Saccharomyces cerevisiae S288C: one gene and its partners. The gene in region 2 interacts genetically with the main gene of each other region. Each region holds a gene or a part of one and is shown on either strand. Other genes may lie near its edges. The genes, in order: PEF1, JEM1, ERJ5 and MCT1.

Region 1 (3,263 bases), on a different chromosome or scaffold from region 2:
GTCTACGTATTTTCACTTCCTCAGCGAATCCAGAGACTATCTTGGGAAATTCGACAGGACAGTCTGTTGACAACCGACTCCCTTTTGACTTCATAATAAAAATTCAATGACGCAAAAGGAATTTTAGGTTTTTATTATTTATTTATTTATTTCTGTTAATTGATCCTTTTCTTTCCACTACCAACAACAAAAAAGGGGGGAAAAAGATGTATAATCTAAAAGACACTAATCTGCTCTTGATATCCTTATTATGTAATGGAATAACTCATATAAATGTAAAATAGAACTTCAAATTAATATTATAATGATAGTCGAGGTCAGACACACTTATAATACATTAAGTAAAGAAAAAAAAATGTCTGTCATCGAGGTCTCTTTTGTGTCGCTAACAAAACATCACTAAATACGAAGACACTTTGCATGGGAAGGATGCAGCAAATGGCAAACTAACGGGCCATTGATTGGTTTACCTCTTCTATTTGTATTACGACCAGAAAGAACGAATGGTTTTCATCAATGAGGTAGGAAACGACCTAAATATAATGTAGCATCGATAAAATCTTTGTACTGTATGGTTGCAATGCCTTCTTGATTAGTATCGAATTTCCTGAATAATTTTGTTAATCTCATTAGCCAAACTAACGCCTCAACGAATTTATCAAACTTTAGTTCTTTTCCTGTTCCATTTCTGTTTATAAACTCAGCATATTGGTCAAATGTTTTCTCGCTAACTTCAAAAGGTATTAGATATCCTAGTTCTTGAAGTGAGTTATGAAATTCGCTTACAGAAATGGTGAGCGATCCGTTGATATCATTGTCCACATAAACTTTTCTCCAACTTTTCACTCTTTTGTATAGGGCGATGAATTCTGCCTGGTTGACAGTGCCAAACCTGGAAGCACCAAATAAATTTATCAGCGCATCTACTGATGATATACAAAAATGGGAGTTGTCGTCGTTTTGTAGTAAGTTCTGTAGTTCCTCAGCTGTCAGTCGGTTTTTGCCCTTTACATCATGGTTATGAAATAGCTGTGTGGCCACTTGCATGTCTCGTACATCTTCTCTGCTATCGAACGAAGCAGGTGCAACTTTCTTCAAGAGTTGTGCAGGCACTGCTTGATTGTGAATTAGGGGAGGAGGAGAGGAAGCTATCCGTTGAGCGGAAGTGTTCAAGTTGTTATAATGGGTTGGCGCTGGAGGTATAGGCCTGCCTGCTGGTTTCTGTGCGATAACATTATATCTAGGATCCACAGGTGTTTTCGTATGTCTTGGAGAATAACTTTGGGGAGAACCATAGGAGTGGTGACCGTTTTCTGCTCTGTTTTTGTTATATTGAGTTTGTAAGGGAATTGGAGCTGAGTGGACTCTAGTGTTGGGAGTTTGTGCTTGAGTAACCTTTATTTGTTGCTGTCGTTGTTTCTCTTTCTCGAATTCACGTCTAGTTTCCTCCATGGCCTCTTTAGGTGTAGCATAGCGTACAAAGTCATCGCCAGCAGCGTATTTGAGCTTCTTTGCACACATCGTTTAATGGTGTAGGTTTATAGTTATTTTATGCGGTATACGGTATACATACATGTTCAGTGAAATAGCAATTCCCATCGCTTTGTATTCCTGCGGTTTTTTTATTCGGATAGTTTCTAAATAAAAAAAATCGACAAGACCCTGAGCCAGATGACTGAAATTATCAGTTGTTAAAAGCGATGGAGCACTATCCAATATGCGTATTGTTTTCTTCTTCTGAGTTATGTATATAATGGTGAACTACAAGATTATATAGATTCAGGTGCAAGGTATTGAGCATGACACATGCTGTGTGTATCGTGGCCTATTCACTGTGGCCTATTTCATTCCACTTCCACTGAATATCATTTCAAATGTATTAAAAGACTTTTGAAAGTAACACTGATAGTATGTTGTAGTTGTTCTTGGAAATGTTGAACCAAACCGATTGTTCATTCGCCAAGTTCGAAGATGCCGTTTTCGTACTTGCCAGAAAAAACACGCTTGAAAAAGAAAATCTTGAGTAAAAAGAAAAGGGCTTAGGAATCTTCTATTCGATGACCATCAAACGATAAATGAAGCAATAAAGTCCAACTAACTAGCACCTCCATAAAATAAGTTAGCGTTTAAATGGTTGATGAAATAGATGCATAGAATGTCCTCGACAGTGATTTCATTGGCTCATTTCTGCGACAAGCATGGCCCAAGGATCATATCAGTTACACAATCCGCAGAAAAGGGAACGCTAGGTGAAGAATTACTAGTGCCTGATTATCCAACTGAATCATATTGCGAATCATGTCTTTTACAGTTTCCTGAAGAGTCAACTAGATCGATGCGGTGCTTCATCGAAGATGTTCCGTTTATAACTACCCAATATTCTTCTATAAGATACCAATTGCTAAATTCTATTATTAAAAGAGCCTTTTCTGAAGAAACAATGATTTATGATAATATGCCTTTTATATTTTTTGATGATCTTAGAGGATTGAACTTAGTTATAGGCTTTAAACTGTATGATGAAAATGCTAGAGGCAATGAAAGAAGATATTGTTTTATTTTAACAGTCGATTCCAGAAGCCATGACGATTCTATGAAAATGTTGAGTGAACACTGGAACTTTATCATCGGTGGATTTGATAAAATGATTGCATATATTAAAAACATTCATAAAAGCGAATTCTTGGGGAAAAATAAAACGGTGGAAAACAATTTGGAAACATTGAATAATAACGCTTTCATTGGCTCATATTTACGTGCAAACAAATCTAAATTCGGCCGTAATTTGGTGTCTCTGACGGATGATAAATTTCTCTTCGTGCGAATACATAAATGGAATTCATTTTTACTCCATACAGTAATGAATGAAAATAAATTACCTTGACTCAAATAAACTGAGATAAATGCTGGTAACCTAATAACCGATGAAATTACGGCATGGAAAATTGTTGGAACAACCTCCTAGTTCCTTTTATTCTTTCATTTCGATTCGAAATAGTCATCAAGGCCGAATACTTTACTCCGACGTGGCTTCTGGGATGAATTTAAAAAGGAAAGCCATTCTGGACCGCGATAGATAAATAGTAAGCTAGGTTTACAATTGTGCGTTTTGAAAGGCAACAAAACGATTGAGGTCTATCGTATGAATAACAAAATATATATGGTATATGCATGAACATATATAGATACATGTGGTGAATTTATCATGGTCATAATTTATTAAATTCTCGTAATCTGAATGCAAGGTATTCAGCGGAAGAATT
Region 2 (4,369 bases):
TAAATAATATGGTAGCCATGCGTTCTACAGAAGTGGTTCTTTGGATCGCTCTATTACTGAAGCAACAATCCAAGTGCAGTATTGTAGCACCACAGTGGTTAACGACGAAAGAGCTTGATAGAAAAATACAATATGAGAAAACTCATCCGGATAGGTTTAGTGAGTTGCCGTGGAACTGGCTTGTCTTGGCACGTATACTTTTCAATAAAGCTAAGGATGATTTTCATGACCCCATTCACGAATTACGTGGTAAAATACAAGACTTAAGGGAAATAAGGCAGATCAAAGTGTTAAAAGGCCTTAAGTATTTGAATGAATCTCATTTACAATTGGATAATTTAAGTCTATTAGAAATCAATGAGTTGAGGCCGTTCATTACTGAAATCATGGATAAACTGCGAGAAATTCACACAGCATCTCTTACCGCTGGTACTGAAAATGATGAAGAAGAATTCAATATTTAAAAAAGTGCTGGCTTTGCAATAATTAGAACTTTCAGTGATATGCGTATGTATATATATGTACTTGTTGTGGTATCCTAGTTAATGGGCATAGAATGTATTTCATCAAAGCCCAAAATTCATTTTAAAGCCATTTCCGAATGGGAAGCCACTTCCTGGATTTTTGAACATGTTATTTTGCCTAGGCCCCTGAGGAAAAGTGTTGCGGCGGGGGTTTGATCTGGAAAGATCGTATTCCTTCCTTTTATCGTCATCACTTAATGTTTCGTACGCTTCATTGATTTGTGACATAGTTTCGTGAATTGATTCTTGTTTGTCGTTATGGTTGGCCTTTATTTTGTCTGGGTGGTATTTTTTGGTTAAATTTAAATATGCTTTCCTTATTTCTTTCGAACTAGCACTAGGCGATACTCCAAGAATTTTATAATAGTCCTTTTTTGGGTCGTAGTTAGGCGCTGCTGGGGGTGCTTGATGTCGTTGGTGTTGTTGCTGCTGTTGTTGTTGTTGGAAATATTGCTGGTTGAAATTCCGATGTTTATGCTCTTTATAGGTTTGTAATTGTTTCTGTAATAATCGGAAGTTCTTCATCACGTATGGATTGGTCGACTCTGAGAGGCCGTTATCTTGGAAAAATTTGTTTATCTGGTCATATAATTGCTTTTTGAACTGTGAATGAGGTTTAGACCTACTTTTATTAAGTATTGAGTTTACCATATACATCAGCAAATGAGGATTGGAATTCCATACATCACTCAATACCGTCTCAGGTAAAGGTTTTTGCTCGGACTTAGCATCCTGATAGTGTTTCCATGTTTCTAGTGTTAGTGAATGCCTCAAACTCTTTTTACAGAACGGCGCAGCCAGTTTAGCTCTCTTGACGTCCGGACTCATGCTAGAAGCCTGACAAAGAATGGAATCAATGTATACTAGATAATCGGTATGATAGTATGATTTTGGTTTGACAAAACCATCGGTTATTGGGGGATCTTCGAATAAATTTTTTGCCAAAGGTCTCGACAGTTGAACGTCTTCTATCAATTGTTTGATAATTTCCTCTAAAAAGAAGTAGTTGTTTTTAAAGTTTGTATCTTTGTTAAGAATTTTCATTGGTGTAATAAATGGCTTCTTATCCTTCAAATAAAATTCAATAATTCTATCCCAACTTCTAAACTTTTTGTTCTCAAATGCATATGTTGCTGGATCCAGGATCTGTCTTTTTGATGGATTCACCTTGTTCAATTTGGAAATAGTCAGGCTTAGTTTTTTACATTTATCATAGTCCATATCAATGGAAAGGCATTTTCTTATATTGAACGACGCATCTGAGTTAAGTACAAAGGTCTGTAAAACAGATATGACATAATGAATCGAAAGTCTTGTATCTATGCTTAAGCTAGCCAAATGCTTGTCGAGGATTGTTTCGTAATCCAAAATGATAGCAGCAGCTAACGAAACGTCAATTTCTTCAGCTAGTTTGTGAAAAAGAACATCGATGTGCGTGGAGAGGACGTTAACATCGTACGGCGTTATGCGTAGCAGCTCAGAAATATCTTCCTCCACAGAAACGTCTTTGGATGATATTTTGTTTCTGATGGTTTCATTCAAGGACAGATATTTCGCATACTGATCATCCTTCTGATGCACCTTGTCCCACATCCCAAAATCGACATACAGCTCTTGTAGCCTCTTTTCCGCCAGCTTCCCAAAAGAACCTTTGTAAGTTTCATTAAAAACGATTTTTTCAAATGTGTTAATAGCTCTTAGATGTTGATCGTTGGATAATTGGATCAGCCCAATTTTGTAGTATATTTGATTGGCTAGTTGAATTACGTCTGACATATTTTCACTTGCTGGATCCGCAGTCATGCAGTTTTGTTCCAACTGCCCAGCGATCCATTGGTATTTTGGCAAGGATTCAGTGTCTACTTTTAAATTCTTGTTCAATCGTTGTAACTCAGCCAAATCACATAACTTAGAAGCCGATATCAGTACTGGCAAAATAACGCTATACACTAAAAGACAGTATCCCGAGATCAGTATCATACTTCGTTTCGTAGACGTTAAGATCGGCCTTAGTAATACACTAAACCAACAATGAATGAAACCTTCTGGGCCCTTCTCGCAACCAACTCCTTTCACTTGGAATAACTTATAAGCAGTTTTGGCTCTATTTTTGCCTGCCATCGAAGTGTACACCTGTCACATTTCACTATTAGGAACCTAAAGAAAAAAAGTCTCAGGAATAGGAAAAGACGCGACGCGTTAGGAAATGATTAAACTAATTAAAGATGAGTTTTCAACCTCATCTTTAAACAGTTTCACCATTTTTTTACAAGACGACCTGCTGGAGTAACGGTAATAGTTCACGTCTGCAATGTATATCAAAAGGGTGATAATTAAGGGTTTTAAAACCTACAGGAACGAAACCATTATTGATAATTTCTCGCCGCATCAGAATGTTATTATTGGCTCCAATGGTTCAGGTAAATCGAATTTCTTCGCTGCGATTAGATTTGTTCTTAGTGACGATTACTCTAATCTTAAGAGGGAAGAAAGGCAAGGGCTTATCCACCAAGGTTCTGGTGGTTCAGTGATGAGTGCCTCGGTAGAAATTGTGTTCCACGATCCAGATCATTCTATGATATTGCCCTCCGGTGTACTTTCGAGAGGAGATGACGAAGTGACCATTAGAAGAACAGTAGGGCTGAAGAAGGATGACTATCAATTAAATGACAGAAACGTGACCAAAGGGGACATAGTCAGAATGTTGGAAACCGCTGGTTTTTCAATGAATAATCCGTATAATATAGTACCACAAGGTAAAATAGTCGCCTTAACTAATGCCAAGGATAAGGAAAGATTGCAGTTATTGGAAGATGTTGTAGGAGCTAAGTCATTTGAAGTAAAATTGAAAGCTTCATTGAAAAAAATGGAGGAAACAGAGCAGAAAAAGATTCAAATTAACAAGGAAATGGGTGAACTAAACTCTAAATTGAGTGAAATGGAACAGGAACGTAAGGAATTAGAGAAATACAACGAGTTGGAACGCAACAGAAAGATCTACCAGTTCACATTGTATGATCGAGAATTAAATGAGGTTATCAATCAAATGGAAAGACTGGACGGTGATTATAATAACACGGTATACTCTTCCGAACAATACATCCAGGAGTTGGATAAAAGAGAGGATATGATTGACCAAGTCTCCAAAAAGCTATCAAGTATTGAAGCTTCACTGAAGATCAAAAATGCGACTGATTTACAACAGGCAAAACTACGGGAATCTGAGATTTCTCAGAAATTAACAAACGTCAACGTAAAAATAAAGGATGTTCAACAGCAAATTGAGTCAAATGAGGAGCAGAGAAATTTGGATAGTGCAACTTTGAAAGAGATCAAATCTATAATTGAGCAAAGGAAACAAAAGTTGTCTAAAATTTTACCTAGATATCAAGAACTCACAAAGGAAGAAGCAATGTACAAACTTCAATTGGCCTCCTTGCAACAAAAGCAGAGAGATCTTATCTTAAAGAAAGGAGAATATGCCCGTTTTAAATCAAAGGATGAACGCGATACGTGGATTCATTCAGAAATTGAAGAACTGAAATCTTCAATACAAAACTTAAATGAACTGGAAAGTCAATTGCAAATGGATCGTACTTCTTTAAGGAAGCAGTACTCTGCGATTGATGAAGAGATTGAAGAGCTAATTGATTCTATCAATGGACCAGATACCAAGGGTCAATTAGAAGATTTTGATTCGGAATTAATACACCTCAAACAGAAGCTGAGTGAAAGTTTAGACACTCGTAAGGAATTGTGGAGAAAGGAGCAAAAATTACAGACAGTCTTGGAAACTTTATTAAGTGACGTCAATCAAAATCAAAGAAATGTTAATGAAACCATGA
Region 3 (3,284 bases), on a different chromosome or scaffold from region 2:
GGAAGTTATATTGATGATGGAAATGGTAACATCATTCCGCAGCTGCCTGACAATACTACTGTATTAACTCCAAATGGTGATGCAAGTAATAATAATGAAATCCTTGATTCAGATACCGGGAGTAGTAATGGAACAAGTGGTGGCGGCCAATTAATCAATGTTGAGTCTCTAGAAGAACAGTTGTCCTTATCTACAGAATCTGATTTACACAACAAGTTAAGGGAAATGTTAATCAATAGGGCTCAAGAAGACGTTGATAATAAGAACACGGAAAATGGGGTTTTCATACTGGGGCCGCCGGAGGACAAGAACAGTAATAGTAACATTAACAATACCAACCATAATAGTAATAATAGTAATAACAACGATAATAACGATAATAATGATAATGACAATGATAATACTCGTAATTATAATGAAGATGCTGATAATGATAATGATTATGATCATGAATGATACATTGTTTTGTACTTTTCTTTAATTTGTATATATATATATTAATTTATATGTATAAGTACCATGTAGTTTTCTATTCATTCATTCATTCATCATGATAATATTACTTCTTACGTATCATTTACGTGAATAGATCACTTTACCGTTAGGCAATTCCATTTTCTTTTGGCCTTTCTTTGCAGAACCCTTTTTTACTTTGTTCCCCTTTTTTGTTTGGTTACCATCATACTTTTTACTATCCGTTATTATTTCTTCTTTTCCTGCGCTACCAACAGATTTGCCAAACGTCATGTTCCAAACCGAAGCAGGTATTCTCCAAAACAAACAGTTCTTTACTGAAGGTTTATCCAAGGTATCTGGCGAAATTAGTGTTTCACTTCCATCAGGCTCTACAACATAGACATCGCTAAACCTTACAACCAAACTTTTACCCTCATCCTTTTCATGTTGTTTAAACGTTAGTTGTTTTACGCCTAGTCCATTGGTATCATCCTGTTGTTTACACTGACTGATGAAGTTTTCAATTCTTGATCTTTGAGAACGATATTGAATAATAGAAATGATATACTGCCCAATATTAACGACTATCCAAATAAAGGCCAGCAGGAACCAAGTCTTAGGCTTCATTCTGGAAAAATAAAAACCACCCTTATGGAAATCATAGTTTGGAAAGCCATTCTGTAGATAATAATCATAAATCTTACGATTAGAGCTGTTTGAAAGAATTTGAGTAGCGAGGTTTAACCTTTCATACAATTTACGGTATTTAGGGTTCTTATCCGGATGGTACTTCTTGGATAGCTTTCTTAAGTTTTTTGTAATCTCCTTTGTACTAGAATTCTGCAGTTTAGGTAACTTCAAGAACTTGTAGAAGTTCATATCTGGGCCATATTTCGTACTTATTTCATTTTGTAATTGGAAAATTTCTGTTTCAATGGTGGTAAAAGCATATGATAGAGATACCAATCCCAGGACAACCAACGCAGGTTTCCAGTAACCGTTCATTCTTTTAGTGATCTTGTAACCTTGATTTTTTGTTCGTTTTCTATTCTTTTGGTACGTGTTATTTTGAAAATCTCATTTTTTTCGTGATTATTAATTTTGAATATGGAAATTAAATATGATTTACCTTCAAATTGGGAAATAATGTAAATACAACGTCAATAAAAGTATTTGTTCGGTCACATATATTTAACTAGCATTGAGGATGGCAGGTATCAAGTTGACGCATAAGCTTTATCAGTATTATCAATTAGCCACAAGCTTTTTGTATGCTGCATTATTGATACGGTGGCTGATATTAATGCCACTGGTAGGGTCTCGGTTTTTACCGGGAGGAATCCACGAATTCTTGATATATTTGATGTTTTATTCCAGCATCATGGAAGTTATTTGGTTGCTTAGATTCCACGGGTTCAAATATGGTTTGCTTTCAAGAACGTTTTTGAAAGACCTAAATTTTATCTATTTAGTCAGCGTGATCCATTTTTATGACGATTATGAGCATGCATTGATCCTCAAGAATGCATCATATTCTAGTTTCATTATTTCCTTATCTTTATCACAGGCATATTGCCATTGGTGCAAACTTTTTAAACGTAAGGGCGTAAAGGAAAGAACACTTGTATGGAAGGTTAACACATTTGTTACATTGCCAATTCTCTACCTGAGTGAATTTGCATTGCTACTATTAAATATCCAGGTTAAGAACTATCATTCTACCCCGACTTTGGACATAATCAACAGGGTGGTTTTACTAGCATACTTCCCTGTACTACTAACAGCATACAAAAAACTATTAACAAAATGAGCAATCTTATTGGTTTAATACATATGTATACACATATACATATCTGTACATACTCATAAATATCTGGATAGTTCGTCAGCCATTTCATTTGCAAAAGCATCAGCTTCACTACTATTCTCGATAGACTTATATTTTAGCCTTGCACTTTGCAAATTCCTAATTATTTGTTCGAGGGGCATTTCATTAGGAATTTCCTCCCTTATTTTAGTAGCCGGTTGAACTTCACAATTTAACCAGTCGTGGGTATCTATAATCTCCTGGATCCTATCAAGCCCCAATTTTTCTCCATAGTCGTTATGATTAACAGTTGGTTTTGACCTTTTCCAGTTTACGAATTCGATGACGTTTGTAAAGGCATTGCTCCATATCTCATTCAGTTCATCAATTTCATCTTGCTCGACTTCTTCGTTCACATTGGCCAACACAACAAAAGTATTTCGATGGGCAGCTATCATGAATTGGTGCAGCAGTTCTTGAGGTTTTGTTTGCCGGATGTCCGTTATTAAGATAATTCCTGCCATGACATTTCTAAGCGGTTCACATTCAGGCGTTATAAATTCTTCCACCCATACTGGTATCTCTTTGCAAGAGTCAATATAAAGATCAAAATGGACTTTATAGTATCTATTTTCCCAAGTTTGGTCCTTAACTATACTGATGCCCGTGCTAGAGCAATGAAACAGGTCTTGCAAAAATTGTGTTTTTAAAAAGTTGTGTGGGTGATCTGATAAAACCAATATTTTATTCTGGGGGTATTGAAGAACCATGGTAGATTGGTATTTTTGCGTATATATACTTGCTATCTTGCTGCATCAGATTTTCTCTATAAAGAGTTTTCTGTTTTTCCTCTCTTTTCAGAATTCGAATAGGAATGAGTAAACTTGAATGACATGGAATTTACACATATATACACATATATAAATAAGATGACTTAGTTTTCTGGCGATTCAGAGTAATATTGCAAGTAAGCAGCCATCGTCTTCATACCACCAACAAAATTTGAAATATCTAACTTTTC
Region 4 (3,543 bases), on a different chromosome or scaffold from region 2:
CAGCGTCAGGCACCAAATGCCTTTTCGCCTCTAAGCCACTAGGATTGACCATTGATACTTCTACTAGAAGTAATGCTGCATCGTGTACCGAAAATGATGTAAACGCTACTGCCTCAAATCCTCCAAAAAGTCCAAGCATAACGGTTAACGAGTTTTTCCATTAGAGCACTAGAGCATAACTAATACTATAAATTAGACAAAGCAGAAAAAGGGAAAAAGGTTCATGCTATGATAATGTAAAGAATATGCGTAGAGATATCTATATATCCATTTATACGTTTATATACTTGCGTGTTTACTTTGTATGGCATAATAACATGTATGTTTGCATTAGGGATTTGTTTTAGTGTATCCAAGAGCGATTAGTATAGAAGGAATGTATGTATGTGTATACGATATTTATATAAAGGGAAGTTGGCTAATTTTTTGCACACTTTCGTCCTCTTTCCATTTTCAATGAATGCGTAGAAGCACAGACTGGGAGTGGAGAGAGTTCGCAGTTTTGATCTCTTTCTCAATCTTTGTTCTCCTCTGCCGCCTTGTGATAAGCGTCTATAGTTGCTAAAGAGGTGTATTCTATAGTGTCCACTTGGGGACAATTTCTCCGAATAAGGTTATAAATCACATTGCCCGGGCCAAAGCAAATACTCTTATCAATTTCCACTGGGGTTCCAGAGTTTATGGTATCATAACACATGGTGAATTGCACAGTCCTGCTTGAACACTTAACGAATCTATCTAGGGCATGATGAATATAGTAAGATATATTACCATCTAAGTTAGCTATTATTGGATGGTTCAACTCCATCAACGTGTGAGTTCCGTTTTTCTTTAATATATCCCAAATGTAGTCATAGAGTGGTTCCTGAACGGGCCTCAACACAGTGCTATTATGGAAGGGGATGTTGTATGGGTTAGTTAATTCTGTAATTCTTAAACGCGGGAACCTTAAGTTCAATTCTGTTCTTAAGGACTCTAAATCATCAACCAGACCGGTGACTACACATTGCTTTACTGAATTTGCATTTGCTACAGAAATGGTATTTTGTGAAGATGATAATAAATTAGGGGAATTTAGTAGTTTTTGCACTTCTTGCGGTAAATCTGTGGCCCTCGGAGAAGAGAGTGCCCACATTTCAAATTTGTTGGATCTGTTGATATTGTGGGCTACTAAGTACTTTTCAGTAGATGTTACCATTAACTTATTTCTAAAATTAGCAATATCAAAAAGATCCTTTAACGAAAACAGTGAATTAACACTCAGACATGTTAACTCGCCTAGCGAGTGACCCAAAAGGTAACATTGTTCATTGTCTTTCTTGTCGGGGGAATCGATCTTAGTCATATTTTTTGGTGCTTGATCTTGAGGATCAGAAGGATTCGAGAGTATCTGGTACAATTGATAGAAAAGGTTGGAGCAGACTGCAATGCTTCCGGGGCTGGAAGGGTTCTGGAAGATGTACTGCAATAGATCATTTGATTCCTTGCCGTTCTGACTCAGTATTGTTTGGAATTCTCTTGATTTGTTTCTTATTATCGCTTTTAATATCGAAATGGAGATGGAGGTCCCTTGACCTGGGAAGGTTAGTAGCTTCATACAAACGCTTATATATGTGTACCACGATCAGAAAAGTGCAAAACGCTTTGTTACTACCCTCAGTGTACGTTATTGAATAGTTCTAATATGCAGCAAGTTACTGGTAAGCTTTGTTTTACCCTTGAGTTCGATACTCAGTTTACTTCCTCCATCGGAGGTTGAAATGCGCCTTGTCATACGGCCAAAAAATGCCATGTAAGAAGATGACACTTTCTGCATTTTGAGTATATTTAAGGGCCTATAATTTTCTTCCAACTTTCTCAAGACAAGCATATTGTGTACTTTCGGTTTAGCAAGCCTTTTTACTTCGTTAACACAAGGCGATGCTAACGTGTGTTTACTGTTTTAGAAGATCGGCATTTATCAAATGTAAGGACAATGAGACATGGTTGACCAATTAGTTCTTCTCAGATAGGAGTTCTAGTTCTTCTGCATACTACTTAGTCCTCTTCTGTCGTTGACATTCAATTGCTTGTGCATTTCTAACATGAAATAGTGGTACTACGAATGCTATTATTCTATGCCAGGCAAATTCCTCTGGAACTTTTTTTTTTTCAGTTTTTTCGTGGTGAGCTTTTTTTGCCTGTCTATCTCGAAAGATCTTGTTGTTGATGACTCAGTGCAGTCGCGATCACTTTCGACTCGACATGCATTTGCAAGTAATTCTGTTATAAAACGTTCTCTTCGTTTTTTCAGTCTGAAGCTCTTCTGCACTTTTTTACTGGGTTAGATTCTATATAGTCAAGTAATTCGAGGTAGCATCAAAGTAATATGTCATCAGACTCAAACGCAAAGCCATTGCCTTTTATATATCAGTTCATATCAGGTGCCGTCGCCGGTATTTCTGAGTTAACTGTTATGTATCCGCTTGATGTTGTTAAGACAAGATTTCAACTGGAGGTGACGACGCCTACTGCCGCTGCAGTAGGAAAGCAAGTAGAGAGATATAATGGTGTCATCGATTGTTTGAAAAAAATTGTAAAGAAGGAAGGGTTTAGCAGACTTTACAGAGGTATTAGTTCACCAATGTTGATGGAAGCACCAAAGAGAGCCACCAAATTTGCATGTAACGATCAATATCAAAAAATCTTCAAAAACCTATTCAACACGAATGAAACTACGCAGAAGATCTCCATTGCGGCTGGTGCATCTGCTGGTATGACAGAAGCTGCAGTTATTGTTCCATTTGAATTGATCAAAATCAGGATGCAAGACGTCAAGTCCAGCTATCTTGGACCAATGGACTGTTTGAAAAAAACAATCAAAAACGAAGGTATTATGGGGCTATACAAGGGTATCGAATCTACCATGTGGAGAAACGCTCTTTGGAATGGTGGCTACTTCGGTGTTATCTACCAAGTGAGAAATTCCATGCCCGTAGCAAAGACAAAGGGACAAAAGACCAGAAATGACCTTATTGCAGGTGCGATCGGTGGTACGGTCGGGACCATGCTTAACACTCCCTTTGACGTGGTGAAATCCAGAATCCAAAGTGTGGACGCGGTCAGCAGTGCTGTTAAAAAATACAACTGGTGCCTACCTTCGCTATTGGTCATATACCGTGAAGAAGGCTTCAGAGCATTGTACAAAGGTTTCGTCCCCAAAGTATGTAGACTAGCACCCGGTGGTTCATTAATGTTGGTGGTTTTTACCGGTATGATGAACTTTTTCAGGGATCTGAAGTACGGACACTGATATTTATTGTATATAGAATACCTCTTTCCTCTTCAATCTTAACTACGTTATTTCTACGTCAAAATAAGAATAGCATGTCTGTCCTACCAGCCCTTGCATAGGCGTCTTAAAATGTTGAGAAGCCTAAACTTCCCTCAATTTCCTACACAAAAGGGCATTAAGATGAACAAAATGATGATCTCTCCGATGGACTTGACGCTTATACCAAAAGAGACTCGATATAAACAACACGGTTTTATAGTCCTGGATTA

The links.
Region 1: mutations in JEM1 (region 2) and PEF1 together harm fitness more than expected from each alone (negative genetic interaction), as found in Saccharomyces cerevisiae (2 studies listed by BioGRID).
Region 3: mutations in JEM1 (region 2) and ERJ5 impair growth when combined (synthetic growth defect), as found in Saccharomyces cerevisiae (one study listed by BioGRID).
Region 4: mutations in JEM1 (region 2) and MCT1 together harm fitness more than expected from each alone (negative genetic interaction), as found in Saccharomyces cerevisiae (2 studies listed by BioGRID).

What each region holds. Positions count from the first base shown.
Region 1 is NC_001139.9:604,394-607,656, reverse strand, and holds PEF1 (Pef1p), read right to left. Parts: upstream 1,522-3,263; coding exon 514-1,521; downstream 1-513. Other genes in the region: septin SPR3, read right to left, coding at 1-94; LST7 (Lst7p), read left to right, coding at 2,156-2,884; RSC subunit protein RSC1, read right to left, coding at 3,210-3,263. UniProt on the Saccharomyces cerevisiae protein: Calcium-binding protein that is required for polar bud growth and cell wall abscission. Can also bind zinc ions.
Region 2 is NC_001142.9:301,316-305,684, reverse strand, and holds JEM1 (Jem1p), read right to left. Parts: upstream 2,505-4,369; coding exon 567-2,504; downstream 1-566. Other genes in the region: DNA replication protein PSF2, read left to right, coding at 1-464; cohesin subunit SMC3, read left to right, coding at 2,836-4,369.
Region 3 is NC_001138.5:236,795-240,078, forward strand, and holds ERJ5 (Erj5p), read right to left. Parts: upstream 1,462-3,284; coding exon 574-1,461; downstream 1-573. Other genes in the region: SAP155 (Sap155p), read left to right, coding at 1-456; KEG1 (Keg1p), read left to right, coding at 1,664-2,266; IRC6 (Irc6p), read right to left, coding at 2,320-3,033; DUG1 (metallodipeptidase), read right to left, coding at 3,198-3,284. UniProt on the Saccharomyces cerevisiae protein: DnaJ-like chaperone required for the folding capacity of the endoplasmic reticulum.
Region 4 is NC_001147.6:755,962-759,504, forward strand, and holds MCT1 ([acyl-carrier-protein] S-malonyltransferase), read right to left. Parts: upstream 1,598-3,543; coding exon 515-1,597; downstream 1-514. Other genes in the region: RCN2 (Rcn2p), read left to right, coding at 1-164; ODC2 (mitochondrial 2-oxodicarboxylate carrier), read left to right, coding at 2,369-3,292. UniProt on the Saccharomyces cerevisiae protein: Involved in biosynthesis of fatty acids in mitochondria.